Linked DNA regions of Anolis sagrei. The protein of the gene in region 1 interacts with the protein of each later gene in a pairwise test. Links are inferred from orthologs where the notes say so. Each region holds a gene or a part of one and is shown on either strand. Other genes may lie near its edges. The genes, in order: CCDC57, SFI1, tyrosine-protein phosphatase non-receptor type substrate 1-like and TMEM100.

Region 1 (6,891 bases):
ATTGCATTGTAATTGTTTTGTTATGTATTGTTATGGCTTAAAATCATGAGTAAAAGTGTTCTCTTAAATTGGCAAATATATTCATAGGTGAAGGAAATAGGAAATAATGGAACAAAAGACTATGTGATGTAAGAGGAATCACCTGTGATGCTTCTCTGCAAAACTTAAAAACGTACTTTCTCTCAGATGATATTACAATACGGAAACATTAAGGCTGGATCTACACTGCCATATAGTATAGTTTCAGAACATGGATTAGCTGCATTGACTTGGATTATATAGCAGTATCGACTTGTATAATCCAGTTTAATGTAGTTAATCCACGTTCTGAAACTGCAATATATGACAGTGTAGATCCAGCCTAAAAATGTCTTCAATGGGAAAAAAGAGTGTTGGATAAAAGTGTGTCAAAACATGTATTTCCTGCAGTAGGAAACTAAGGCATAAAACCTTTTTTCTTCCTCCACAAAAACCCGAAAAGTGGGGTAAAGTGGAGCTGAACATGGCTTTTCATAAGAGTTCTGATGCAATGTATAGTCACTGAACTGGCTACATGGGGATTTCAAGGCTCACTTTCTTGTTCAGTAAGCCACAATGACCTGTCTGACTGGAAATGTTATGACTAATTTCCTACAGTGATTGCTCAGATTAACACTAATTTCAGCATTATAGAGAGTCACTTGCCAAAGGAAAATGTGTTCTCTTGAAGTATTCTGATTCTGAGAATAGAGCAAAGGGATACCAGTCATAAAATAAAATAAAATGTCCTAGAGGTTTCCTGTCTCTTTAACTAGAGTAACATGACACTAATTTCAAGAGACAGGAACCTCCTAGGACTGTAATTGTAATTTGTGTAGTAACAAGTTGATTACAAGGTGAGCTCAGAGATTGTGTTTCTGTTTCTTTGCTTAGTAGTGGCAGGCTAAAATGTTTGAAACTTTAGAAGTACTTTAGGCAGTGTTGTGGTAGTGATGGGGGAAAGAGTGGTTTTGTATTTATTCTATTGAGTCCCCATTTACACAAACTGTAAAATCCAGAATGATGTGGATTATAAGCAGGGACGGCTCATCCATTACGCGAAGTAAGCGGTCGCAGAACACTTTTTTTTGCCAGGGGCTGCTACCGGCTGTTAGGATTTGTGGGTGTTGCAGTCCAAAACACCTGGAGGGACAAAGTTTGCCCGCGTCTGGTGTAGATACACTGATAGAAGCACATTTATGAGTGCAAGTCTACATTCTCTTATTGAGAAGACACATATAGTTAGAGACATAGCTCAGAAGTATCAATGTACTTACTCTATTGATGCGGGGCTGGAATTAGGGTGCTTTTAGGCTTTTTTTCCCCAGCAAAGGAATTTTATGGGAATCAAGCCTATTATTTTCCTGTTTGTTTTACCACCACTTTGCGTTCTATTTTCCTATAAAAGGATTTTCTAATATGTTAAAGAGGAAATGGTTAATTGTTTAGGAAGAGGTACTTCTATCTTTTGCGTGCCTCTGAGCTGGAGGGGGGCAAGCGGGGGAGGAAGCTGGATATGGATGAGGAAGGTAGTGATTGTCTCATCAGTTCTAATCTCATGAGGATTAGATACCTACACTGAGGAAGGTTATTTAAATAGCAGTTAAATACTATTAGCTTGCTGGAGATCTCTGGTTAATCAGGTAAATTGTGGCCTTTTGTTTATCAAACAGCTCGATTCGCTATTAATTTCTTCCTCTTTATGCAATAAATCACAGAATCGCAGGGAAGCAGAAGACATTGTGTCCAAATTGCTGCCCTGCCTTTCACCCACATGATCCATCAATCAACTGAAAATTTAGTGTATCATAAGTACAAAGCCAGGTTTCTGCCAAAGACGGAGAGAGAAAAAGAGAGAAAAAGACTAACGGCACGTACAGAACAAATATCTCAGAATGATTCATATATCTGGGCTTGGCTGCTTGCCAAAAGGTTGCATTAGTTTTTCATACTTCCAGTAAGTAACCAAAACTTAAAGATGTAATGCTGCCTTTACTCTCACAGCTAATTTTATTATGATTTTGGGGTTAACTACAAGCAAATTAAACGTGAAACATGCACTTTAAGATCCCAATCTTTTATAAACTCTAAAGTAAATGTTTTCAGCCCTGATACAGATGAGGACTGGGGATCATATTTCCTCACCCAAAGCTTTTTGTTTTGTCACAGTGTCTAGCTGCTTCCTGACAATGCATCCATTTCATTTGCAAATATCTTAATTACTCAACAACGATTACTGTCTATAGATCCTACAAATTCAAGTTCACAACATATAAAATGAATTAAAAGCAATTGGATCATGTCATATAGGCAGTGTTTGTTTCACGTTTCCCCTCCCTAACACAGAAGTTTTCTCATTCTGACTGCCTCAAAAACAAAACAAAAAAACACAACAACAACAATGCTGTAATTATCAAAATCACACAGGTCATTTGCAATTAGCCATGTTGATTGGCATTGAGTAGTCTTGCAACTGCAAAGCCTGGCTGTTGCTTCCTGGGGGCAGCAACAGCCCCCAGGCAGCAACGCCAACCATCACCCATGTCAAAAAAAGAAACACAACTAAAGCTCTGACAGAATATGCAAACATAATATGCGAAGCCTACCTCCTCCAAGGTGAACTGAACCACCTTAACTGGGCTCTACAGACCAATGGATACTCCACTACAGACATCAGAAGAGCTGCAAGACCAAAAACAAGCCATGAGAGTAAAGACAAAGATCCACCCAAAGGAAAAGTATCTTTACCATACATTAAGAGAACCACTGACTGCATTGGGAAGCTGATGAAGAAACACAACCAATCTACAGACCCACCAAGAAAATCCAACAAATGCTACGTTCAGCAAAGGACAAGAGGGATCCTCTTACCTCTGCGGGAGTCTACTGTATACCATGCAGCTGTGGATAAGTCTACATAGGAACCACCAAGCACAGCATTGTCCAAACACAAATCAAAGAATATGAAAGACACTGCAGACTCCTTCAATCTGAGAAGTCAGCTATAGCAGAGCACTTGATGAGTCAAGCTGGTCACAGTATATTATTAAGAACACATAAATGCTGGACCACTCCAACAACTACCATATCAGACTACACAGAAAAGCCACTGAAATCCACAAACATGTGGACAATTTCAAGTGAAAGGAGGAAACTATGAAAATGAACAAAATCTGGCTTCCAGTATTTAAAAAAACCACCAGAATTAAGACAGTAAATAAAGAACACTAATCAGAAATGGGAATGTCAGACAGCTAACAATCAAGTTTCAGTTTATACCTCCCAAACAAAGGATGCCCCCAAGCAGCAACTGCCAAGCTTTACAGCTAATTGCATCACTCACACTGGCCAGCTAATTGCCAGCTAATTGCATCATTCACTCTGGCTTAAAACAGACAAGAGTTCTTTCTCCCACGCTGGGCATTCCACAGATACACCCCACTGGCCTCATTTCCAACAGACCTCTGAACAAACTTCTGAGGATGCCGGCCATAGATGCAGGTGGAACATCAGGAGAGAATGCTACTGGAACATGCCTATACATGAGTCCCCATCGGGGTTGAGAAGGGTGGTATACAAATACAGTAAATAAATAAATAAATAAATATCATTGCCCAAAAAACTCACAGCAACCCAATATTGTAGACCTCTGCAAGTCAAATTGCCTGGTACTTTTATGGATGTAAAATCAACTTTTGACTCCAGAGGTAAATTATGGGAAAGACTGGACAATATTTTTGTCAATGAATTACTTGCAGGCACACAATGACAACAGCAACCTCTGGAAGGAGGCAAATGGTGAGTATTCAAACACTGTTCAGTATAAAGTGTAGTAGGTTTCCTGGGAACGCCGTCTGTACGTCTTTGTGTTAAAACACTAACATCACCTGGTTTTGCTAAAGGTGCAAACCTATTTTTCCTTGAAATGTCAAATGCAAATAAAGTCTACAGTGCAATATAGTCATTCAGTTTGCTTTGTTAGAGATGGTTTGATCTCTGGTGTTAGTGGATTAGTTAATCCCTTCCCCCTTTTTGTCATGCTAATGACAGAGCAAAAGGCAGACCCAACAGCAAGACTTTTTGTTCACATGAAGGGCCTGTTATTCACAGAGAAAGTGGAGGTTAAACATTGATCAGCAGCAAAACCCCTCTTACAAGCAGCCGCTCCCAGAGCAACCAAACAGTGAGCAACTAAGCAATTAATCTGTGTAATTAAAAGTTGTAAATAGTCAATAAACCATTAAAACTATAAAGCTGTTAGCACAGGACTATAAAATAGTAAAATTGTGGGGTATAAAACAATAAAACTTAGGCGATAATATCAAACAAGATTAAGAATTCCTAGCAAAAGCAGATTTTCAGCAAAAAAGGGAAAAAATGCCATTCTAGTAATCCCTCAAAACTGTTAAATCTCTTTTTAAACAGGTGCAGTTTATCCCTGCGTCTTTTAATTATTCTTTTGAAAATTGTGACTCTTTTGAAAATTGTAAACAGACTTTTGGCCATTTTCAGTTTTAGTCTGCTCCTGACTGGATGATCAAGAGGAGAGGATTATTCATTTTTACCAATAGTTTATGAGAATTAATATCAGAGGGAGAAAGAGGCTAAGTCTGAACTACAGAGCTGGATTGTTATATACCTTGTGTTGTTAAAGACTTTCATGCCCGGATTCACTGGGCTGCTGTGAGTTTCGGGCTGTATGGGATGCCTACCATAGATGTGGGTGAAACTTCAGGAGAGAATGCTTCTAGAACATGGCCATACAGCCCGGAAAACTCACAGTAACCCACTGTTACATGCTTTACATGCCATTACTCCAGACTCAGACTTTGTAAAAAATTGAAGATTCCTCTTAGGGCCCTTCCACACAGCTGTATAACCCAGAATATCAAGGCAGAAAATCCCACAATATCTGCTTTCAACTGGGATATCTGAGTCCACACTGCCATATAGTCTAGTTCAAAGCAGATAATGTGAGATTTTATTCAGCTGTGTGGAAGGGGCCTTATTACCCTTTTATGGTGATGATTGAGTATTATCTCAGATCCATTTTAGTAGCCTTTTTGGGTACTTCAAGGGTTGCTAGGCTACCAACTCTATTTGGATGCTATTCATTTATTTAAATTCTTGTTGCTGTGTGCTTTCAAGTCATTTCTGATTTATGGCAATCCTAAGGCAAACCTATAATGCAGTTCTCTTGGCATAATGTTTAAGTGGGGGGTTGCTTTTGCCTTTGTCTTCCTTTGAGGCTCAGGGCCCTTCCACGCAGCCCTATATCCCAGGATATCAAGGCAGAAAATCCCACATTATCTGAGTGTGGACTCAGTGCCCTTCCACAAAGCCCTATATCTCAGAACATCAAGACAGAAAATCCCACAATATCTGCTTTGAACTGGGTTATCTGAGTTCACACTCAGATAATGTGGGGTTTTCTGCCTTATTTTTCTGGGATATGGGGCTGTGCGGAAGGGCCCTGAGACTACAAATGATTATTTAGATGTATACTACCAATAGAGAACCAATGTGTCACAGTGGCTTGAATGTTGGGCTAGGGGCACTTCCACACAGCCCTATATTCCAGAATGTCAAGACAGAAACTCCCACATTATCTGAATGTGAATTCAGATAACCCAATTCAAAGCAAATATTTTGGGATTTTCTGCCTTGATATTCTGGGGGGCCTTCCACAGACCTATATCCCAGAAAATCAAGGCAGAAAATCCCACATTATCTTTGAACTGGGTTATCAGAGTCCACATTCAGATAATGTGGGATGTTCTGCCTTGATATTCTGGGATATAGGGCTGTGTGGAAGGGCCCTTAGTTTCAGAGGAAAGCAAAAGCAACCCTCTCTGAACAAACCTTGCCAAGAAAACTTCATGATAGAGGGCACGTAACAACAATCCTCAGATAGGCCTCCAACATAGAATACTATGTGAATCTGGTTTACTTCTTGCTTACTGTAACACAGGTGAATATATTTCTTGTCAAGTGTGAGGTAGGGGAAGGAATAGAGAGATACTTGACAAACATACAGTATAAGAATATCAGAAGATTCCTTCAGTGTTAGGGCAAAAGTTCATTAGTCAGTATTCCACTTTCTGCAATGGCTGATGCTTGGAAAGATTTTGCAAAAGTACCATGAAGAGAAATAGTTGTCCAGTGTGGTTAGTCATTATAGTGGCCAGAATACTGGATGCTGACCTATACCACTGTGTGTAAGCCTCACTAAGCCACTGAACTTTTTATGGCCTTAGACTCCGATCCTTGGATGGTGTGTTTTAACATAGGAATGCATTTTAATTATTTGTAATACGTATTAATTTTAATCCAATTTGTTTTTAAGTTAGTATTCTATGTTTTTAAGGCACTGTGGAGATGCCACCTGTAAGCTGCCTTGAGTCCCCCTTGGAGTATAGAAAAACAGGAATAAGGTAAAAAAAGTGTAGCTTTGGGGGCATTTCATTGTATTTTTCCTCAATATTTTAATTTCACACTACATCCATTGTATATTGTCTAGAAATCTTACTGGGAGTATCTCTACTTTATTAATTGGGAATTTACCTTGCCATTTTTTCCAGCACTCCAGGGATGAGATCATTGGCCCCCTTTAATTTCTTTTAGAGTTTTATTGTCAATCCATCCTTTTAAGCACAAACAATGATCCCATCCATTAATTGTTTTTTTTTTCCATTCTGGTCCATCTTCTTGAATCATCAAAATCTAATTCTATCAATCTTGTTAACTGATAGGCCTCAAAATAATTTTGCAAATTAGGTGTACCCCATCCTCCCATCCCTTCTGGAGAGTAAAATATTGAATTGGGAATGTATATATTCAAGGTTTCAGATGAGCACATATGATCAAATGGCT
Region 2 (7,505 bases), on another chromosome or scaffold:
GCAGGCAGGGGAGGCTCTTCTCTCACTACTGTCTCAAGTGGGGATGAGGGGGGGGGGTTCTCTGTAGTGGCTCTCCGGCTCTGGAATAACCTCCTAAAAGAGATTAGGTTAGTCCCCACCCTTGAATCCTTCCCATCCACCCTAAAAACATGGATTTTTAAGCAGGCTTTTGGCCTCGAGTAGGCTGAAATGGGCCCATCTGAGGTTGACACTTTAGGTGAGAATTGATGGTAGCTAGTTTTAACTACAGATGGCCTGCGTTTTTAAAATTGTGTTGTTTTATTTTATGTGTTGATAGTGGCTGCTTTTATAATTTTTATGCAATGTTTAATACTCATTTATCATTTTATGTTATATACTGCACTTGGAGTGCCTTGTAAGCCGCCCCAAGTCCCTTTCTGGGAGAAGGAGGCGGGATATAAAGTTTATTATTATTTATTAGCATTCTTATAATAATAATAAAATAAGATATTAAAATAATATAACATATAATAATATTATAATACAATAATATATAACATAACATGTAAAATGGAATAATGGTGTGATGTGATAATACTATAGTAATAATTTAATACAGAATAATCTAATAATATACAATAATATGTAATGTAAAATGGAATAACATAATATAATGTGATAGAATAATAATATAAGAACGCAAAGGAATAATAATAATAATAATAATAATAATAATAACTAGCTGTACCTGCCACACGTTACTGTGGCCAATCTTCCCTCCCTCTTTCTCTCCTTTCTTTCTTTCTTTCCCTCTTTTTCTTTTCCTTCTTCTTTCTTCCTTCTTTACCTGTTTCTTTTCTTGCTTCCTTTGCTCTTTGGTTCCATCCTTCCTTGTCTCTTACTTTCCTTCCCTCCCTCTTTCTTTCGTTCCTTCTCTCCTTCCTTTCCTCTTTCACTTTATTTCCTTCTCTCCTTCTTTTTCTCCCTGTTTTTCTCCTTATTTCCTTCCTTCCCCCTTTCTGTGTATGTGTTTTGAGTGTGCATATATGTATGCCTGTATATATTTGTGTATGTGTATATATGTATTTGTATGCATATGTGGTTTTGCACATGCGTTGTAATGTATTTTTTTTTTTGCTTTTTAATTTTCTCCTGCTGTTTTTATGAGTGATGGTCACTTGTTGGCCTGATACGTGTCTTGTGTCCAAATTTGGTGTCAATTTGTCCAGTGGTTTTTGAGTTAGGTTAATCCCACAAACGAACATTACATTTTTATTTATATAGATAGATAGAATAATATAGGGTGATAACAACAGAAATACCATTCAAAATCCGAATATATTTTTGTCGTTCCTGACACGACCCAAAAAAAAAAACCGAATATATGAAAATGTAATAATAGAATGATAATAATAATGTTCCCTCCAAAACCAGAATAAAATAATTATAGAATAATAATTACTAATAGTATACAACAACAATAGAATAGAGGATTATATTAATAATAGAATAGAATTAAAATACAATAAAAGAATAGAATAAAATAAAATAATGTAATGACAATGTATTGTTGAAGGCTTTCATGGCCGGAATCACTGGGTTGTTGTAGGTTTTTTCGGGCTATATGGCCATGGTCTAAAGGCATTCTCTCCTGACGTTTCGCCTGCATCTATGGCAAGCATCCTCAGAGGTAGTGAGGTTTGTTGGAAGTAGGAAAGTGGCCTATATATCTGTGGAAAGACCAGGGTGGGACAAAGGACTCTTGTCTGTTGGAGCCAGGTGTGAATGTTTCAACTGACCACCTTGATTAGCATTTGATTGCCTGGCAGTGCCTGGAGCACTCCTTCGTTGAGAGGTGATTAGATGTCCTTGTTTGTTTCCTCTCTGTCGCTGTGCTGTTCTATAATAATAATAATGGCTATTGGTGTTAATTGTGTATTGTTGTTAATTGTATACTTTTCTATAATATGATGTTAACTGTTTTTTATACCGTGTTATGGTAGCATTGAATTTTTGCTGTTCTTGTTGTTAACCGCTGTGAGTCGCCTAAGGGCTGAGAACAGCGGTATACAAATAAAGTAAATAAATAAATAAAGTAAATAAATATTAATAATAAATATATAAATAGAATATATATATATATATATATATATATATACATACACACATATATATAAATAGAATAGAATATAAATGGGGTTTATATATCTGTGGAAAGACCAGGGTGGGACAAAGGACTCTTGTCTGTTGGAGCCAGGTGTGAATGTTTCAACTGACCACCTTGATTAGCATTTGATTGCCTGGCAGAGCCTGGAGCAATCCTTCGTTGAGAGGTGATTAGATGTCCTTGTTTGTTTCCTCTCTGTCGCTGTGCTGTTCTATAATAATAATAATGGCTATTGGTGTTAATTGTGTATTGTTGTTAATTGTATACTTTTCTATAATATGATGTTAACTGTTTTTTATACCGTGTAATGGTAGCATTGAATTTTTGCTGTTCTTGTTGTTAACCGCTGTGAGTCGCCTAAGGGCTGAGAACAGCGGTATACAAATAAAGTAAATAAATAAATAAAGTAAATAAATATTAATAATAAATATATAAATAGAATATATATATATATATATATACATACACACATATATATAAATAGAATAGAATATAAATGGGGTTTATATATCTGTGGAAAGACCAGGGTGGGACAAAGGACTCTTGTCTGTTGGAGCCAGGTGTGAATGTTTCAACTGACCACCTTGATTAGCATTTGATTGCCTGGCAGAGCCTGGAGCAATCCTTCGTTGAGAGGTGATTAGACGTCCTTGTTTGTTTCCTCTCTGTCGTTGTGCTGTACTATAATAATAATAATGGCTATTGGTGTTAATTGTATATTGTTGTTAATTGTATACTTTTCTATAATATGTTATGATGTTAACTGTTTTTTATACCGTGTTATGGTAGCATTGAATTTTTGCTGTTCTAGTTGTTAACCGCTGTGAGTCGCCTAAGGGCTGAGAACAGCGGTATACAAATAAAGTAAATAAATAATAATAATAATATATAAATAGAATATATATATATATATATATATATAGAATAGAATATAAATGGGGTTTATATATCTGTGGAAAGACCAGGGTGGGACAAAGAACTTTTCTCTGTTGGAGCTAAGACAGAATATATAGAATAGAGTAGAATAACAACAATTCTGTTCTATAATAATAATAATGGCTATTGGTGTTAATTGTATATTGTTGTTAATTGTATACCTTTCTATAATATGTTATGATGTTAACTGTTTTTTATACCGTGTTATGGTAGCATTGAATTTTTGCTGTTCTTGTTGTTAACTGCTGTGAGTCGCCTAAGGGCTGAGAACAGCGGGATATAAATAAAGTAAATAAATAAATAAAGTAATTAAATAATAATAATATATAAATAGAATATATATATATATATATATATATATATATATAATAGTATATAAATGGGGTTTATATATCTGTGGAAAGACCAGGGTGGGACAAAGAACTCTTGTCTGTTGGAGCTATGACAGAATATATAGAATAGAGTAGAATAACAACAATAAAATAATATAATACTGTATTAATAGCTGAATATAATGGTAGATAATAATAGAACATAGAACATAATAGTAAAATAATAGGAATAGTATTACATAATAATAGAAGAAAATATTAATAATATTAGAGAATATTACTAGAACAGAATAATAATGGGATAATAGATTCTGCTCTTCTTCTGCCTCTTCCCATACCATAGAGCCTACCTGGGCTGTGGTCTAGAGAGGCCCCCTGCGCGGGCGCGCGACCTGCGGGGTCCTCCGGAGCCTGCCCGGGAGCGCTGCTCTGCTTCTGCTTGGCCTTCTGCTCCTCCTTTCTCTTCGGGATCCGCCATCAACCGAAAGAAGGCAGGCAGGAAAGAAGGAAGGAAGGCTCCGCGCCCCGCCCCCCGTCCCCTTTTAATGCCCGCCGCGCAGGCGCCGATGACGGCGGCCTGCCGGGGACACACCGGAAGATCAGGCGCCGTTGGTGGGCAGAAGTCTCCTTTCCGCGCAGGCGCGTCGCTGTCCGCCCCCCCCTCCCCGCGCGCTCTTTCGCTCATTCCCTTTGGGCACGCGCAGCACACGCCTCTCGCCTCAGCGTTCTCCCTTTTGCGCATGCGCGTCACTGCTATCGCTTGCTTCCTCGCTCATTCCCCGTGCACATGCGCAGCACGGCCCTCATGTCCAAGGGCTTGCCTCTCAGCTGCACACGCGCAGCGTAATCCTCTCCCTCTGCGTTCTGCCTTTTGCGCACGCGCGGCACTGTTTTGCCCCTTCTCTCGCTTCTTCCCATTGCGCATGTGCTCTCGCCTTAGCGACTGAACGCCTCTCTCGAAAGACATCGTGCGCATGCGCAAACTCCCAACCGCTTTCCTATCGGAGGACCCCACTTTTGGACAGCCTTGTTCGAGGTGCCCTCCGTGTTCGCCTGACGGTTTCGCTACGTCGCCATAGCAACCCTAGCTAGGTGAAAGCGCGGTTTTTTTTTCATAGTGCGGACACGATTGCTAAAGTCTTACTCTAACAAGTTTCTTGTATAAGGAAAGGGAAAGGGATTGCTTTAGGCGTTTGTGATAGACAGTTGGACTCTCCGAGTTTGAATTCGTTGGAAGGAGGGAGGCCTTGTGAGCTATTTCTCCAATTAAATTAGTATTGGGTTGTTGTAGGTTTTTCCGGGCTATATGGCCATGTTCTAAAGGCATTTTCTCCTGACGTTTCGCCTGCATCTATGGCAAGCATCCTCACAGGTTGTGAGGTCTGTTGGAACTAGGAAAAAGGGTTTATATACCTGTGGAATGACCAGGGTGGGACAAAGGACTCTTGTCTGCTGGAGCTAGGTGTGAATGTTTCAACTGACCACCTTGATTAGCATATAATGGCCTGACAGTGCCTAGAGCAAACTTTTGTTGAGGTGGTCATTATTATTATTATTATTATTGTTATTATTATAGATAGATAGAGGTATGGATACATTATTTAAATATTTTAAAAACAAAGTTTTAAACGAATTTAGTAAACCTTTACTAATATTAAAGTGCATTTGTCTTTAATGGTTTAAAGAATAATGTTAATATTACGTATTTTATCATTTTTAAATATTAATTAGTATTCATATTTAATTCTTATTAAATATTGTTAGATTGTTACTATGTGTATAAACCGATTCTCCAGTATTGGAGTTCAATATTCTATATTTTATTCTTATTAAATATTATTAAAATATTTATTTTATTATTGTTGTTTTTAAATTTTAAATCAATTATATTTAATTTATTTGTTTATTATTTTATTTATTATTAAATATTAATAAATGCTTTTAATATTATTTTATTTATTTATTTATCAATATTTTATTGATTCTTATTCATATTTATTATTTATTAAATGTATTATTATTATTTGTTATTAAATATTATTAGATTTTTACTATGTATATAAACTGATTCTTTATTTATTTATTTATTTCATGGCTCAGGGCGGCCTCACACAAGCACCATACGATGTCAACAAATAAACAATTCGAAGTACAATTAAAGCATTAAAAACCATTAAAACACTAAAAATAATTCAAGCCCATTATACAGTTCATTAGACAGTAGATTATACATGCCGGTAAAACCAAAAAAGTCAGATTCAATGTCATAAATATCCTAAAATCTCTATGTTTTTATCCTATATATTTATATTTTAAATGTATTTCTAAATTATTTAAATTGTTTCTTTCAATAACTTCTTAAACCCTTTTTAAAAAGTTAAGTGATGAAACAATAATTTTATTAAAGTATATTATTATAGTTTAATATTATGTAGTGGGTTAGACCGCTGAGCTGCTGAACTTGCTGATTAAAAGGTTGGTGGTTCGAATCCAGGAAGCGGGGTGAGCTCCCGCTGTTAGGCCCAGCTTCTGCCAACCTAGCAGTTCAAAAACATGGAAATGTGAATCGATCAATAGGTATCATTTTGGCGGGAAAGTAATGGTGCTCCATGTAGTCATGCCAACCACATGACCTTGGAGGTGTCTACAGACAATGCCGGCTCTTCACCTTAGAAATGTAGATAACCCCCCCCCCCCCCAGTGGGACACAACTAGACAATGTCAGGGGAAACCTTTATCTTTTTATTATGTATTTATTATTTTTATTATTTTAATATTTTATTGTTTTCTTATTATTATTATTTAGATGGAGAAAACCTCAAAGAAAAGGTAAGAAAAAGCATTATTTTGTTTATTTAATTTATTTAATGATTTATTTCTCTTATCTGATTGAAGCAATAATTTAAATATTAACATATTTTATGTATTAAAATATTTTAAATACTAAAATAATATTTTAAATACTTATAATGTTTTAATATTTCAAGGCCTAAGGTTTTATTTAATGATTTGTTTGTTCTCATTTATTATTATATTAACATGTATTATGATATTACATTATTATAATATTTAATGCATATTTATCATTTTAAGGTATAATTTTAATTTTGTACTATATTTCATTATATGATGTATAATTTATGTTATATATTTGAATATTTCTTTGTAGTCATTATTTTAGTATTACAGTATTTATTGTTATTAAGAAGTGGACTGTTTTTAATTAAATCCTTATAATGGTTTTTGATTACTAATATTATGTTTTAAAGCATGTTTTAATTTCTGTAAATATGTGAATATATCTTTATGTAATATATATATGGCATTTGAGGATTGAGTCAATAACCCTTGTCCACATGGAAGGATGGCGATGAATTGTGACTGTATTGACAACTTGGCTTGTGTAATGTGATGATGATGTTTTTATTGTACTTATATTTTAATATATAATGATGATGCATTGTGCTGTATTGTATATTACTGTATATGAACACATGTTGTGAACCAGCCTGAGTACCTTCTTGGAGGCGAGAAGACTGGTATATAAAACTTTTAAATAAATAAATATAAATATGACATAATTATGAATATTACACCATGTCTGTCATTGCTGGGATTCATTATGCTCTCTGGATGCAGAATGTTCTCTTGGCCTTGTTGGGTCTGTGTGTCAAACTTGGTTCAAGTCCATCACAACTCCCACGAGGGTAGGTCAGTCCACGCCAAACCCCTCCAGTATGTTCGGTTGGTCATGAAGGATCTGTGTGCCAAGTTTCATAGAATCATAGAATAATAGAGTTGGAAAAGAACTCGTGGGCCATCCATTCCAACCCCATTCTGCCAAGAAGCAGGAAAATCGCATTCAAAGCCCCCCTGACAGATGACCATCCACCCTCTGTTTAAAAGCGTCCAAAGAAGGAATCTCCACCACCCTCCGGAGCAGAGAGTTCGACTGCTGAACAGCTCTCACTGTTAGGAGTTCTTCCTAATGTTCAGGTGGAATTCCCTTTCCTGGAGTTTGAAGCCATTCTTCCACGTTCTAGTCTCCAGGACAGGAGAAAAAAGCCTGCTTCCGCCTCCAACTTCCCCTCACCTCTTGATCCATGGTC
Region 3 (7,474 bases), on another chromosome or scaffold:
AACCAAAGTTGGAAGAGGGGTGTGCCTACTCATACAAGGGAACTGGGATCGACATTACAATGGGTTGCAAAGAATCTCTCCAAGGTGCTCTCTCAGCTCTCTAGCCTTGAACTTCAGGCCTGACACTGAGGCCACTGGCTGCCCTGAGTTGTCTCCAGAGATAACTTTTTCTTCAATATGCTCAGCTGTGTCCAACTGAATGAAGTGTGTGCACGCACATAAAATTCCTCTTCTTCTTTTCAGTCCCTTCTCTTCTTTCTGTATCCTCTTCCTCCTTCTGTTCCTCTTCTTCCTGGTCCTCCTCCCTCCTGTTTTCTTTCCTTCCTTGTTTATCTTCTGTTGCTTTTTCTCTTAATTCCCCTTCTTTCCGTTCCTATCTCTCATTACCTCCATTTATTCCTCCTTTTTTTGATCTTGCATCCATCCTACTTGTCCCCATTCCCTCTTCCTTTTTGGTAACTCTCCAATCTCATTTTCTCCCCTTCTTTTCCTTCTTTCCCTCCTTTTTCTTCGATGTCTCCTCCTTTTCCTCCTCCTCCACCTTCTGCTCTGCTTCCTTTTTTTCCTCCTTCCTTCCCCTCCTCTATTCCTTCCTCGTCTTTTTTCTCTTCCACCTTCTTTTCCTCCTCTTTCTCCTCCCTCTTTTCTCCCCTCCTTTTCCTCCTTTTCCTTCTATGCCGCCTTCTTTTCCTCCTCGTATTCCTCTTCCTTCACCCTCTGCTCTGCCTTCTTTTCCTCCTTCTTTTCCCTCCTCTTTTTCCTTCCTCCTCTTTTTTTCTCTTCCGCCTTCTTTTCCTCCTCTTTCTCCTCCCTCTTTTCTCCCCTCCTTTCCCTCCTTTTTCTTCTATGCCTCCTCTTCTCCTATTCCTCCTCCTTCACCCTCTGCTCTGCCTTCTTTTCCTCCTTTCTTTCCCTCCTCTTTTTCCTTCCTCCTCTTTTTTCTCTTCCGCCTTCTTTTCCTCCTCTTTCTCCTCCCTCTTTTCTCCCCTCCTTTTCCTCCTTTTCCTTCTATGCCTCCTTCTTTTCCTCCTCCTATTCCTCCTCTTTCACCCTCTGCTCTTCCTTCTTTTCCTCCTTCCTTTCCTTCCTCTATTTCTTCCTCCTCCTTTTTCCTCTTCCGCCTTCTTTTCCTCCTCCCTCTTTTCTCCCCTCCTTTTTCTCCTTTCCCTCCTTCTTTCCCTCCTCCTGTTCCTCCTCCTTCACCCTCTGCTCTGCCTTCTTTTCCTCCTTCCTTTCCCTCCTCTTTTTCCTTTCTCCTCTTTTCTGCCTTCTTTTCCTCCTCTTTCTCCTCCCTCTTTTCTCTCCTCCTTTTTCTTCTATGCCTCCTTTTCCTCCTCCTATTCCTCCTCCTTCACCCTCTGCTCTGCCTTCTTTTCCTCCTTCCTTTCCTTCCTCTATTTCTTCCTCCTCCTTTTTCCTCTTCCGCCTTCTTTTCCTCCTCCCTCTTTTCTCTCCTCCTTTTTCTCCTTTCCCTCCTTCTTTCCCTCCTCCTATTCCTCCTCCTTCACCCTCTGCTCTGCCTTCTTTTCCTCCTTCCTTTCCCTCCTCTTTTCCTTTCTCCTCTTTTTTCTCTTCTGCCTTCTTTTCCTTCTCCCTCTTTTCTCTCTTCCTTTATCTCCTTTCCCTTCTTCTTTTCCTCCTCCTATTCCTCCTCCTTCACCCTCTGCTCTGCCTTCTTTTTCCTCCTTCCTTTCCTTTCTCTATTTCTTCCTCCTCCTTTTTCCTCTTCCGCCTTCTTTTCCTCCTTCTTTTCCGCCTGCTTTTCCTGCTGCTCCCCCTCCTCCTTTCCCTCCTTGTCTTTCCCCTTCTTTTCCTTCTCTCCTCCTTCTTTGCCCCGTCTCCCTCCTTTCCTCTCCTCCTCCCTTTGCTCTGCCTTTTCTTTTCCTCCTCCCCTCCCCTCCTCCTCCTTTCCTCCCTCCTTTCTTCTTGCCTCTCTCTCACCTCCTTTCCCTCCCTTTCCTTCCTCCTAAAAGCAGGAGAGCCACCAAGGCGGGGGCGTTTCCCCCCCTTGTCCCCATCTATCCCTCCATCCATCCATCCCTCTATCCTTTCCAGCCCACCTTAAGGCCCCCCCTCCCATGTGCGGCTGATGCCAGGCAGGCAGGGGTGACCTTACCAAAAAGAAAGGAAGACAGACAGAAAGAGAGAAAGAAAGAAAGAGAGAAGCCTCCCAAACAAAACAAGTTGCCCGGGAGGGAGAGGACAGCAAGCCGGCCCGACCACAAGACTCCCACATCCCCCTGCTTTGCAAGAGATTCTTCCCTTCTCTTCCTCCCTTCTCTCGGGTCCAGCAAACTCGCCAAAGCGGCTGGGGAAAAGCTTGGGCTCGGTCTCCCGCTGGGGAGGACGCTGGGCAGGCCTCCCCCCTCCCCGACCCCCAAAAAGAACACCCCCCTTTCTTTCCCCCTGAAGTGGCACATTGTGAAAAGAAAGCCGGAGGCCCCTCAATGCTAGGCAACGGCGGAGGGGGGAGAGAGGGAGAGGAGCCCGAGAGGAAGGCGGGAGGCTGAAGAGAGAGACGCGGGAGGGCACCGGACCCGGGGGGGGGGGGGCACCGAGGTGAAGAGACCCTTCTGCCCCCTTGATTGCCCTCTCCTTCGGTGGAAGGGAGCCTGCCAGGAGGGACACTTGACCCAGGCACCCTTGGCACCTTCTCTGCTTCCTTGGGCAAGAAGAAGACCTCTCCTTGGAGGAGGAGGAGGAAGAAGAAGAGGACACTGCTGGAGAAGACACACTTGGCACCTCCTCTGCTTCCTTGGGCAAAAAGAAGACCTCTCCTTGGAGGAGAAGGAAGAAGAAGAAGAGGGCACTGTTGGAGAAGACACCCTTGGCACCTCCTCTGCTTCCTTGGGCAAGAAGAAGACCTCTCCTTGGAGGAGGACGAAGAAAAAGAGGGCACTGCTGGAGAACACAGGCACCCTTGGCACCTTCTCTGCATCCTTGGCACCTCCTCTGCTTCCTTGAGCAAGAAAAAGACCTCTCCTTGGAGCGGGAGGAAGAAGAAGAAGGGGGTACTGCTGGAGAAGACACCCTTGACACCTCCTCTGCTTCCTTGGGAAAGAAGAAGACCTCTCCTTGGAGAAGGAAGAAGAGGGCACTGCTGGAGAAGACACCCTTGGCACCTCCTCTGCTTCCTTGGGCAAGAAGAAGACCTCTCCTTGGAGAAGGAGGAGGAAGAAGAACAGGGCACTGCTGGAGAAGACACCCTCGGCACCTCCTCTGCTTCCTTGGGCAAGAAGACCTCTCCTTGGAGGAGAAGGAAGAAGAAGAAGAGAGTACTTCTGGAGAAGACACCCTTGGCACCTCCTCTGCTTCCTTGAGCAAGAAGAAGACCTCTCCTTGGAGGAGGAGGAAGAAAAAGAAGAGGGTACTGCTGGAGAAGACACTCTTGGCACCTCCACTGCTTCCTTGGGCAAGAAGAAGACCTCTCCTTGGAGGAGGAGGAAGAAGAGGGCAGTACTGGAGAAGACCCTTCCTTTACCCCTTTCTTTTCTCCCCACGTTTTGCTCCAGAGGAGGAAGCTGCCCAGGCTGACTTAGCCTTGGCACCTTTGGCACCTCCTCTGCTTCCTTGGGCAAGAAGAAGAAGACCTCTGCTTGGAAGAGGTGCCTGTTAGAGAAGACTCTTCTTTCTGCCCCTTTGTTTTCTCCCCGAAGGAGCAACCTAGTACCCAGGCTGGTACACCTGGCAGTGGCACCCTCTCTGCTTCCTTGGGCAAGAAGAAGAAGACCTCTCCTTGGAAGAGGAGGAGGAAGAGGGCACTGCTGGAGAAAACCTTTCTTTCTGCCCCTTCCTTTTCTCCCCGAAGGAGAAAGCTAGTACCCAAGCTGGTACACCTGGCACCCTCTCTGCTCCCTAGGGGAAGATTTCCTCTCCTTCAAGAGGAAGAAGTAAAGGGGACTGATCATAAGATAAGACCTTTTCTCCTTCTCTTTTTCCCCCACTTGGAGAATTGCCTTGGCACACCTAGCATCCTCTCTGCTGCTTCCTTGGGAAAGATTTCTCCTTCTGCAAGAGGAAGAAGTAAAGGAGACTGATCATAAGAAATCTTTCCTCCTTCTCTCTCTCTCTCTTTCCTCCTTCTCTCTCTCCCCCCCCCCCCCCCTTGCCTTGGCACGCCTGGCACCTTGCTTGCCTTGGCACGCCTGGCACCCTCTCTATTTCCTTGGGAAAGATTTCCACTCCTGCAAGGGGAAAAAGAAAGGGGGACTGATAAGAAGAGAAGGCCTTTCCTCCTCTTTCCCCCCCAACTTAGAGAGCTTACCTTGGCACGCTTGGCATCCTCTCTGCTTCCTTCAGGAAGATTTCTTCTCCTGCAAGATCATAAGAGAAGACCTTTCCTCCTTATCCCCCCCCCCCCTTCTACTTTTGGCTTGGAGAGCTTGCCTTGGCACTCTTTGGCACTTTCTTGGGGAAGAGGAAGAAAAAGGAACTGGTGGAGAAGAAGAAAGACCCTTCTTCCTCCCTTTTTTCCCCCTCCCCCCATTTTGCTCTAGAGGAGGGAAGCTGCCAGGCTTGCCCATCCTAGTGTTTTTTTGGCTTCCTTGGGGAAGATTTTCCTGCAAGAGAAATACCAAGAAGGAACAGAAGCTTGCCTTGGCACTCTTTGGCACTGTCTTGGGAAGATTTCTTCTGGAAGAGGAAGAAAAGGGGGACTGGGGGAGAAGAAGAAAGATCCTTCCCCTCTCTTTCCTCCCCCCCAGTTTGCTCTGGAGGAGAGAAGCTGCCAGGCTTGGCCCGCCTGGTGCCTTTTTGGCTTCCTTGGAAGATATTCTCCTGCAAGAGAAATACAAAGAAGGAACAGGAAAGGGGCATCACTCCTTCCCCTCCCCGGGCTTAGCATGTGAGTGACTGAACCCAAGGACCTTGATCCCAGCCTCTCTGCAACCCCCCTTTGGCTATCATTAGTCTCCCCTGAAACTCCCCAGAGTGTATGCCAACAAATCTATGCGCTGCGCATCAATGTTCTGCCAGGTGAGTGGGCACCAATCTCTCTCTCTCTCTCTCTCTCTTTCTCTCTCGTTCTCTCTCTCTTCCTGTGTTTGTGTACGTGTCTTGCCAGACATGCTCAAGGGTGTTGCAGACTTGGCCAATGCATCATGTGCTGTTCTCTCCCCCACTCCATGCAAACACACACACACACATACAAATGCCACCCCCTCCTTTTGAAAAAGAAAATATATCTCATTTGCAAGCTTTTCTTTATCTGAAAGGGAAGGAAGGGTGGCAAACTTCTGATTCATCAGCTGGTAAAAATAGGTTGGGGCAGGGCTTGGCGGCTTCTTTCTTTCTTTCTTCCCCTCCTCCCCCTTTCTTCTTCTTCTCCCCCTCCTTCTGATTTTTTTTCCTCTTCCTCTTCTTCTTTTCTTCCTATGTTGACAGAGGAAGCCAAGTGGGGCTGGCTTCCTCATTTTGGGGATGGACTTGTGATGTCGTATGCATGTGTGTGCTTCGCCTCCTCTCCCTCCCTCCTTCCCCTGATTCATCTGCCCTTCACACTGCAAAAAAGAGAAGAGAGCCTGCCTTACACAAAACAGCCCTCTCTCCTTTCTTCTGTTTTCATGCAACTCTTTTTTTCTCTCTCTCTTTCTCTGCCCCTCTCTTCTTCTCTCCTGGTTCCTCTCCAGTAGCAGATGAACATGGACGCTGCTCCGGGCATTTATTCCAAAGGTCTGCTGATTTGCTTCTGGGTACCACTGCTGCTTTCGAGATGGTCAGGTAAGGCTCTTCGGAGTTCATGCATTTACTTGTGGGTTTGTTTCTTTGGCTATTTTCCCCCTCCTGTCTTCAGCAAAAGATGCATCTCTTGGTTTTGACTTTGATCATCCCCTTCCTTGTTGTTCTCCTCCTGGACTTCTTCTCCGCATCTCCCTTCTTGTATAATCCTTCTCCTTTGCTTACTTCCAAATTCTCCCCTCTTGTATAACAGGCAAAGTGTGTTTGTGGGGTTTTTTAACAGCTTGTTTTGGGTTTGCTGCTGCGTAGGTTTGCCTTTTCTTAAAGGACCCTCTTTCGGAGTAAACACAAAGTGGATGAGTTGCTGCCATCCAACCTTGGAATAAGAATTGCTTTCAACCCTCCAAAAAATGCCTGTTTATGTTTTGGTGCTGGGTTGTGTGTGCCCGCATGTGGAGGGCAATATTTTCTTTGGTGCCAAAGGAAAAGGCAAAGGGTTTTTAGTGGCAAGGAGGTGCCAAATCTGGGAAAGATGGGGGCAGAGCTGGTGATGAGGACACTGCGAAGTCCATCTGGCATTTGTGAGATGATGAGGAGGTGCCCTTTCCCCACCGAGCTTGCCAACCAAGGAGGCGCAGAGCGGAAAGAGGCTGGGGAGATAAGGCGCTTTATCTTGTGAGTTTGTTATCAAATTAAGGAGGTGGCGATGGCCGTGATGATCATCTCTGCCACTTCCATCCATGGCTTTCTAACAGGCAAAGAGCATTTGATGTGCATTTCCATATGGTTCCCATATAAGGTGGGCTGGCATTGCCCCAATGTTGCCTTGTGGTTTATCAATGCCAAGTCAGCTTCGGCTTATGATGTTCTCATGAATGAAAGATCTCCACCTCTCCCTGTTATCAACAGCCCTGCCTCAGGTTTTGCAAACTCAGGACTGTATGTTGAATCTATTCACCTCTGTAATGTTGCGATTCATTGGTGACAAGCCAACTTGAGTTTATGGCAACCTTATGATTTACAGACCTTCAGTTTATGCATCCCTATGAATGAGAGTCCTCTGCTCAGGTCTTGCAAACTCAGGACTATGTGTTGAATCTGTTCACCTCTGTAGTGTTGTGATTCACTGCTGAGAAGTCAAGTTCAATTTATGGCTACTCTATGATTGACAGACCTTCTGTTTATGGCATGCCTATGAATGGGAGTCCACTGCTCAGGTCTTGCAAACTCAGGACTGTGTGTTGAATCTATTCACCTCTGTAGTGTTGTGATTGATTGCTGACAAGTCAACTTATGGCTACTCTATGATAAACTGACAGACCTTCAGTTTATGGCATACCTATGAATGAGAGTCCACTGCTCAGGTCTTGCAAACTCAATATTATGTTGAATCTATTCACTTCTGTAGTGTTGTGATTCATTGCTGACAAGTCAACTTCAGTTTATGACAACCCTATGAATGACAGACCTTCAATTTATGGCATCCATATGAATGAGAGTCCTCTGCTCATGTCTTGCAAACTCAATAGTATGTTAGATCTATTCACTTCTGTAGTGGTGTGATTCATTGCTGACAAGTCAACCTGAGCATATGGTATCCCTATGAATGACAGACCTTCAGTTTATGGTATCCGTATGAATGAGAGTCCACTGCTCAGGTCTTGCAAACTCAGGACTGTGTTGAATCTATTCATTTCTATAGTGTTGTGATTGATTGCTGACAAGTCAACTTCAATTTATGGCTACTCTATGATAAACTGACAGACCTTCAGTTTATGGCATACCTATGAATGAGAGT
Region 4 (7,424 bases), about 29 Mb from region 1:
CAGATTTTAAAATCAGATAATTATAGAGTTGGAAGAGACCACAGGGGCCATCCAGTCCAGGAACACACAAAGCACTCCTAACAGATGGCCATCCAGCCTCTGCCTATAAATCTCTAGAGAAGGAGACTCCGCCAGACTCTGAGGCAGAATAATCCATTGTCCAGCAGCTCTTTCTGTCAGGAAGTCCTTCCCAATGTTTAGGTGGAATCTCTTTTCCTGCTATTTGAATCCATTGCCCCATGCCCTAGTCTCCAAAGCTGCAGAAAACAAGCTTGCCCACTTCTCAGTGCAACATCCTTTCAAATATTTTGATATAGCTATAATGCCCCCCCCCCCCGCCCCCAGTCTTCTTTTTTCCAAGCTAAAGATACCAAAAATTGCTACTTGTAGAGCTTGGGTTCTAAATTTTGATAATTTTGGTTGTTCTTCTCTGGATGTGTTTGAGCTTGTCCACATTTTTCAGAACTGGGCATGGTATTTCAGATGAGGTCTGGCCAAAATAGAATAGGGAGGGACTAGACTAGACTATCGCAACACTTCCTGTTCTTGCAACCTAGAATTGCATTGGCTTTTTAAGCTAATGCTTCTCACTGTTGACTCATCTTTAGTTTGTGATCTATTAAGACTCCTAGATCCCTTTCACACATACCGTTTTCAATCCAAATGTTGCCCATGCCATATCTGTGTATTTCATTATAATTGCCTAAATGTAATACCATACATTTTTCCCTGTTTAAGTCTTCTGAGTAATGGTAAGTTTCAGGACTACATTTCTTGGTGTGGCAAACAGCTGACATTGCTACTTCCCACAAGTATTGTGGAAGTGAAAGTAAAATCTCTTTGATTTAGGCTTTTAAGGTAAAGGTAAAGGTTTCCCCTTGACATTAAGTCTAGTTGTGTCCGACTCTGTGGGTTGATGCTCATCTCCATGACTAAGCCAAAGAGCCAGCGTTGTCTGTAGATGTCTCCAAGGTCATGTGGCCAGCATGACTGCATAGAGTGCTTTTACCTTCCCGCCAGAGCAGTACCTATTGATCTACTGACATTTGCATGTTTTTAAACTGCTAGGTTGGCAGAAGTTGGGCCTAACAGCGGGAGCTCACCCCGCTTCCCGGATTTGAACTTTAGCTCAGCAAGTTCAGCAACTCAGCCACTGTGCCACTGGGGGCTTCATGCTTTTACTTGTAGGTAAATACATGAAATTGCTAGGTGTTGTGATTTAACATTTCATCAAATGTCACCAAAGAAAAGAAAATTGTACATGGCAAATAAAGGAGCTGGTGTCTGGTCCCCTCAGACTTGCCTCCTGGAATGGATGATTTCTATTTAAAAGCAAAGAAATGTAAAAGAAAGGGACTTCATTCCTTGAGTCCATATTCTCATGAAATGAGACATGTTATACATGATGAAGTTCAGCCTCGTTTCCTAGCAGGAATCAGGCAAGCAACCAGCCAAGCCTCCCCCTTTCCTATTCTGTCTGTTGGCATTCTGTGGCCAACATATCTGGTCCTTCTATTTTGTGAGTTTTTTTAAAAAAAAACTTTTGCATGACCCATGTTTCTCCTTGCCTTGCTTGATACCTTGCTCTTCGTTTTGGCTGCCTTTCTGTCACCACTCACCACCTGAGTTCGCTATTCGAGGAAGCGATGATAAAAAGGAAAATATGCCAGTGGTATTCCCTCCAACTCCTTCGTAAGAAATAGATCTGCTCCCTCCTTCCAGCATTCTGGCTCATGGGGCCAAGCAAAACTCAGCCCTTATGTAAGCAGCCTTCCTGAGAGTAACTTGTCCTGGTCAATAATAGATAATTCTTGAGGGCGGGTGTCTTGCGAGAGAAAAAAAGACTGTGATTTTCTAAAGAAAGTCTGTATCTACACTTCTTTGGGAGACCCATGGAAGCTGTTCAGGACCCTGAACGAAAGCGCATCCGGTTTGTTTTCAACTAACGGAAACAAATATTGGGGGAAAAAGAGCTATTACAGGTTTTTCTTGTCAAGATTTGTTTGCCATTGTCTTTCCTTGAGGCTGAGAGAGTGTGATTTTTCTAGTGTCACCCATGGGTTTCCACAGCTGTGGAGGGATTTGAACCCTGGTCTCCCAAAGTCCTAGTTTAACACTCAAATTACTATTCCAGATCTCTCATCTATTTATATAGGAGCCCCCAGTGACACAATAGATTAAACCCTTGTGCCGTCAGGACTGAAGACCAACTGGTCGGAGGTTTGAATCTAGGGAGAGCGCAGATGAGCTCCCTCTGTCAGCTCCAGCTCCCCATGCAGGGACATGAGAGAAACCTCCCACAAGGATGGTAAGACATCAAAAACATCCGGGCGTCCCTTGGGCAACGTCCTTGCAGATGGCAAATTCTCTCACACCAGAAGTGACTTCAGTTTCTCAAGTCACTCCTGACATGAAAAAAAATCGTTTTAGATAGTGCACTCCAAGTGAGCAAGGCTCATAATTATTTATTTATCGTGTCAGGAGTAACCAAACATTTGTATTACATTTTTTAACAAACAGACAGACAAAACACAAAGTTTGCAAGCTTGGTAGTTGATTATATGTCCTTTGACCAATATCTGGCCAATAGGAGTGTCTCTGGTGTTGCTGCAAGAAGCGACCAGAAGTGAAGGCTCATAATGTACGTTGTTTATTTACTTATTCCATTTGTGTCCTTCTTTTCCTCTAATGAGTTTCTTTGTAAAAAAGAGGCTTGCTTTGGGTCTCTTTAGAAAGATAAAGCAGGATAGAAATAGTAATAATAACAACAACAACAACAATTCTTGCTGCCCAAGAACAGGCAATTAGAACAAATGCCATCAAAGCCAGAAATGAAAAATCGATGACAGAGCCCAAATGTAGACTCTGCAAGGAAGTAGAAACAATAGATCACATTGGGTTGTTGTAGGTTTTTTCGGGCTATATGGCCATGGTCTAGAGGCATTCTCTCCTGACTTTTCGCCTGCATCTATGGCAAGCATCCTCAGAGGTAGTGAAGTGTTTTGGAACTAGGAAAAAGTGTTTATATATCTGTGGAATAACCAGGGTGAGACAAAGGACTCTTGTCTGCTGGAGCTAGGTGTGAATGTTTCAGCTGATCACCTTGATTAGGATATAATGGCCTGACAGTGCCTAGAGCAAACTTTTGTTGAGAGGTAATTAGATGTCTTTGTTTGTTTTCTCTCTGTTGTTGTGCTGTTGTAATAGATCACATCCTCAGCTGCTGTAAGAAGATTGCGTAGACAGACTACAAGCAGAGGCATAACACCTTTGCTCAGATGATTGATTGGAACTTGTGCCACAAATATCATCTGTCTGTGACAAAGAATTGATGGGATCACAAGCTTGAAAAGGTTACAAAAAATGAGCAGGTCAAACTACTCTGGGACCAGGCATGTAGCCGGGGGGGGGGGGGGCCTCGGGGGGCTTCAGCCCCCCCCCCCCCGAAATTCTCATGGTGGTTCGTGAAAAGGCCTTACTGGCGCATTATTTAAACTGTTATGTTTATTCATATCATGATCTGATCACCATACTCAATATATCCCATATGCATGGGGGTATTGGGGTAATGATACAAAAGGTTTGCTAGGCTAGACCCTCTTTCACTCAGACTCAGCCCCCCCCCCCGAAACTCAGCCCCCCCCCGAAACCCCCCCTGAAAATTTTTTAGCCCCCCCATCCCCCCCCCCCCCCCCCCCGAAACGAAATCCTGGCTACGGGCCTGTCTGGGACTTCCAAATTCAGACTGACAGAGTTTTGAAGAACAATACTCCTGACTTCACAATCATGTTGAAAAACAAAGTATGGATCATGGATGTTGCAATCCCAGATGACAGCAGGATTGAAGAGAAACAACTGGAAAAGCTGACATGATATGAGGATTTAAAGATCAAACTGCAAAGACTGTGGTACAAGCCAGTCAAGGTGGTCCCAGTGATCGGCACACTGGGTGCAGTGCATAAAGACCTTGGCCTGCACTTAAACACAATTGGTGTTGACAAAATTGCTTATCTGCCAGCTGCAAAAGACCACCATATTGGGATGTACATGCATTATTTGCCGATACATCACACAGTCCTAGACACTTGGGAAGAGTCCGATGTGTGATCCAATACAACAGCCAGCAGAGTGTCTGCTGTGGACCCATCTTGTTGTGTTTCAAATAATAATAATAATAATAATAATAATAATAATAATAATAAAATTACTGGGGGCCTCATCAAACCGGATTCCAAAGCATTGAATCAAAGCAGTTTAAAGTGTGATAAAACTGGATTAATTCTGCGGTGTAGGTGCACCAAAAGGCGGCTCTGGTTTTGTTCAGCAAGTACCAGTTTGGGACTCCCCCCCCCCCCCCTCCCGTCAAGCAGAGCAGCGCGCGTTCCTTTGAAGCTGGGAACTTGTCCGCGGTCCCTGGGTTCCCTCTGCGGCTGCGCAGTTTGCAGACGCTCCCTTGCGCCTCTCTCCAGACCGGGGCAAGTGCTTGCTCGCTTTACTTCCATTCTGGACGAGGGAAGGTAAGTGGTGGGCTCCGCTGGGCTTCCTGGAGCGGGGAGAAGTTGGGGAAAGTTATCAAAGGTGGTTAGGTGAGGAGAGGGCGAAATATTACAGTGGTTTGGTGGCAAAGCAAGAAAGAAACTTTTGCCAGCAAGGAACTGAAAGTCCCCACAGGGGTCTGCAAAGTCTCTGCTCAATGGAAATGGAGATTGCCAGCAAATGGGAACTTGGTCTCTTCTTGCTCGGGAGCTTTCCAATACAAAGAACAAAAAAAAATTTCTGCTCCCTTTAAAACGATCCTTTTATATCCAAGAGAATGTGTTAATATTATTGTTGTTGTTGTTATCTGGCATACATATCTGGCAATCGTGGTTTTCTCCCTCCAGCCCCTTCTGCTTTGCCATATAATCCAGATTAACAAAGCAGAGAAAACATTTCATGATTCCACACTGACATATAATCCAGTTCAAATCAGATAATCTGGATTTTGTATGGCAGTGTAGAAGGGGCCCCAGCCTGAATTATGCACTCTTTCAATAGGCTGCAATTCTATAAATGCATCTACACTGTAGCGTTGATGCAGTTTGATACCACTTTGACTGCCATAGCTCAAGTGCTGTGGAATTCTGGGATTTGTAGTTTGGGCAGCGAAAACTAAAGACCCTTCCACACAACTTAATAACATCCCAAATTATCTGCATTGAACTGGAATATATGTCTGTGTAGATTCGGATAACCCAGTTCAAAGCAGATATTGTGAGATTTTCTGTCTTGGTATTCCGGGTTATATGGCTGTGTGGACGGGCCCCTTATCAAACTGCAAGTCCCATTTTTCCATAGCATTGAACCATGGCAGAAAAAGCGGTGCCAAGCTGCATTCATTCTACAGTGTAGTAGAGGCACCCTCAATTCAAAAAGTATTCAGCAGGTTAATGTTATTTAGCTATCCTTTAGTTGAAAGACAAGAGTTGCTGGTTTTGAACAGTTTCTTCCATTGGACTATAGATAGATAGATAGATAGATAGATAGATGATTTTTTAAAGTTAGGAAGAATGTGAACGGAAGAGAAGCATGGAAATTTGGTGAATCCTTTGTGCTCTGGATGTCGAAAACCCTTCTAACCTTGGCCCCTTCCACACAACTGAATAAAATCCCACATTATCTGCTTTGAACTGGAATATATGGACTCAAGATAACCCAGTTCAAAGCACATATTGTGGGGTTTTCTGCCTTGATATTCTGGGATATAGGGCTGTGTGGAAGGGCCTCTTGTCCTGTGCGCACAAGATTATACCTTTATGTAATACAATCATATATGACACAGGGAAGTGGTTACGTATGACAGCTTGGTTTCTGTGTGTTTGCTTCTTTGAATAGAGCATCTTCAATTATGTGGATCCGTAATCCACATATAATTTGGGCAGGATGGAGAGACTGGTGAGGTTATTTGTGTAACTCCTTCCCATACCCCTTTATGCAAATAATATTTTTTCCTATTTAGAAATAAGGCTGCAAGTATTTATATACATGTCATCTTGGAAGTAAGTTAGGAAGGGGTTACATGAGAGTAACATACTTTAGATTAGACTTTCTTAACTGCTAACACATTTTGTACCGAACAAGGTTTTTCAGATCTGACTTATCAATATTACTACTGATAACTAATGTCTTTAAAGAAGGGTCGGGAGCCAAACACACTTAGGATGCACCTATATTGTGGAATTAATACAATTTGACACCACTTTGACTGCCATGGCCCAAATCTGTAGAATCCCGATACTTGTAATTTGGTGAAGCATCAGCCCTCTTTGGCAGAGAACTCTAAAAAAAACTTGTAAAACTACAACTCCTGCAGCATTGAGCCATGGTATCAAACTGTATTAACTGTACAGTGTAGATGCAACCTAAGAAGTCGCACGCATCCCTTTAACCCCTCTTTGTGTGCAGTCTTATTGTAGTTATTCATGGATAGATTTTTTTTTCTGTGTCAGGAGCGACTTGAAAACTGCAAGTCACTTCTGGTGTGAGAGAATTGGCTGTCTGCAAGGAAGTTGCCCAGGGGATGCCCAGATGTTTTGCCATCCCGTGGGAGGCTTCTCTCATGTCCCTGCATGAGAAGCTGGAGCTCACAGACTAGGCTTACCCCACTCCCTGGATTTGAACCGCCGACCTTTTGGTCAGCAGTTCTGCCAGCACAAGGATTTAACTCATTGAGCCACTGAGGACTCCATTCATGGAGAGTGATGCTAACTCTCCATATGCTCAGTGGCACTTGTTTTTCTCACTACTTCAGTTCTCCAGCATTTTGTCTGATAGGAGTTTTGGAACTGAGCCGTGGTGTGTCATAGTGCAACACATTAAACCCAAATTGCTTTGATTCAAACCATTTAACATTGTTAAAACTGAAAACATAGAGACATAGTGAAAGACACATGAGAGTTTGGGAGCTTTGTAATTTAATTCAGGAAGATAAATGAAGGATAATAAGTATGCATTATGAATATGTTGTTGGATGTACAGTATTTGAGGATGGGTTGGGGGGCACGGAAATAATTCTTTGCAAAGTCAGATCTGGCAATGGTGACCCATGCCTTGATTATATCCTATTGGGACGACTAATGTTCTCTAAAGGCCCTTCCACACAGCCATATTACCCAGAATATCAAGGCAGAAAATTCCCACAATATCTGCTTTGAACTGGGTTATTTGAGTCCACCCGGCCATAGATTCCAGTTCAAAGAAGATAATGTGGGATTTTATTCAGCCCTGTGGAAGGGGCCTAAGTGGGGCTGCCTTTGGAAAGTGTTCAGAAACTTCCGCTTGTTCAAAATGCCGCAGCCAGGCTGTTGACCAGGGATCATGAAATAGCTCCATTGGCTACCATTCCATTTCCGGGCAGAATTCAAAGTGCTGTTTTTGACCTTTGA

The links.
Region 2: the proteins of CCDC57 (region 1) and SFI1 interact in a two-hybrid assay, tested with the Homo sapiens proteins (2 studies listed by BioGRID). The two-hybrid records come from large-scale screens. The link is inferred for Anolis sagrei from reciprocal best matches to the Homo sapiens genes CCDC57 and SFI1.
Region 3: the proteins of CCDC57 (region 1) and tyrosine-protein phosphatase non-receptor type substrate 1-like interact in a two-hybrid assay, tested with the Homo sapiens proteins (2 studies listed by BioGRID). The two-hybrid records come from large-scale screens. The link is inferred for Anolis sagrei from reciprocal best matches to the Homo sapiens genes CCDC57 and SIRPA.
Region 4: the proteins of CCDC57 (region 1) and TMEM100 interact in binary tests that used the Homo sapiens proteins (3 or more experiments, as listed by UniProt). The two-hybrid records come from large-scale screens. The link is inferred for Anolis sagrei from reciprocal best matches to the Homo sapiens genes CCDC57 and TMEM100.

What each region holds. Positions count from the first base shown.
Region 1 is NC_090022.1:114,236,392-114,243,282, forward strand, and holds the start of CCDC57 (coiled-coil domain-containing protein 57), read right to left. Parts: upstream 3,024-6,891; 5' UTR 2,890-3,023; intron 2,701-2,889; 5' UTR 2,625-2,700; intron 1-2,624. UniProt on the Homo sapiens protein: Pleiotropic regulator of centriole duplication, mitosis, and ciliogenesis. Critical interface between centrosome and microtubule-mediated cellular processes. Centriole duplication protein required for recruitment of CEP63, CEP152, and PLK4 to the centrosome.
Region 2 is NC_090034.1:49,408,913-49,416,417, reverse strand, and holds the start of SFI1 (protein SFI1 homolog), read left to right. Parts: upstream 1-4,494; 5' UTR 4,495-4,749; coding exon 4,750-4,776; intron 4,777-6,202; coding exon 6,203-6,225; intron 6,226-7,505. UniProt on the Homo sapiens protein: Plays a role in the dynamic structure of centrosome-associated contractile fibers via its interaction with CETN2.
Region 3 is NC_090024.1:239,827,580-239,835,053, reverse strand, and holds the start of tyrosine-protein phosphatase non-receptor type substrate 1-like, read left to right. Parts: upstream 1-4,471; 5' UTR 4,472-4,947; coding exon 4,948-4,974; intron 4,975-5,045; exon of another isoform or gene 5,046-5,249; intron 5,250-5,627; exon of another isoform or gene 5,628-5,630; coding exon 5,631-5,718; intron 5,719-7,474. UniProt on the Homo sapiens protein: Immunoglobulin-like cell surface receptor for CD47. Acts as docking protein and induces translocation of PTPN6, PTPN11 and other binding partners from the cytosol to the plasma membrane.
Region 4 is NC_090022.1:143,440,614-143,448,037, reverse strand, and holds the start of TMEM100 (transmembrane protein 100), read left to right. Parts: upstream 1-4,421; 5' UTR 4,422-4,517; intron 4,518-7,424. UniProt on the Homo sapiens protein: Plays a role during embryonic arterial endothelium differentiation and vascular morphogenesis through the ACVRL1 receptor-dependent signaling pathway upon stimulation by bone morphogenetic proteins, such as GDF2/BMP9 and BMP10.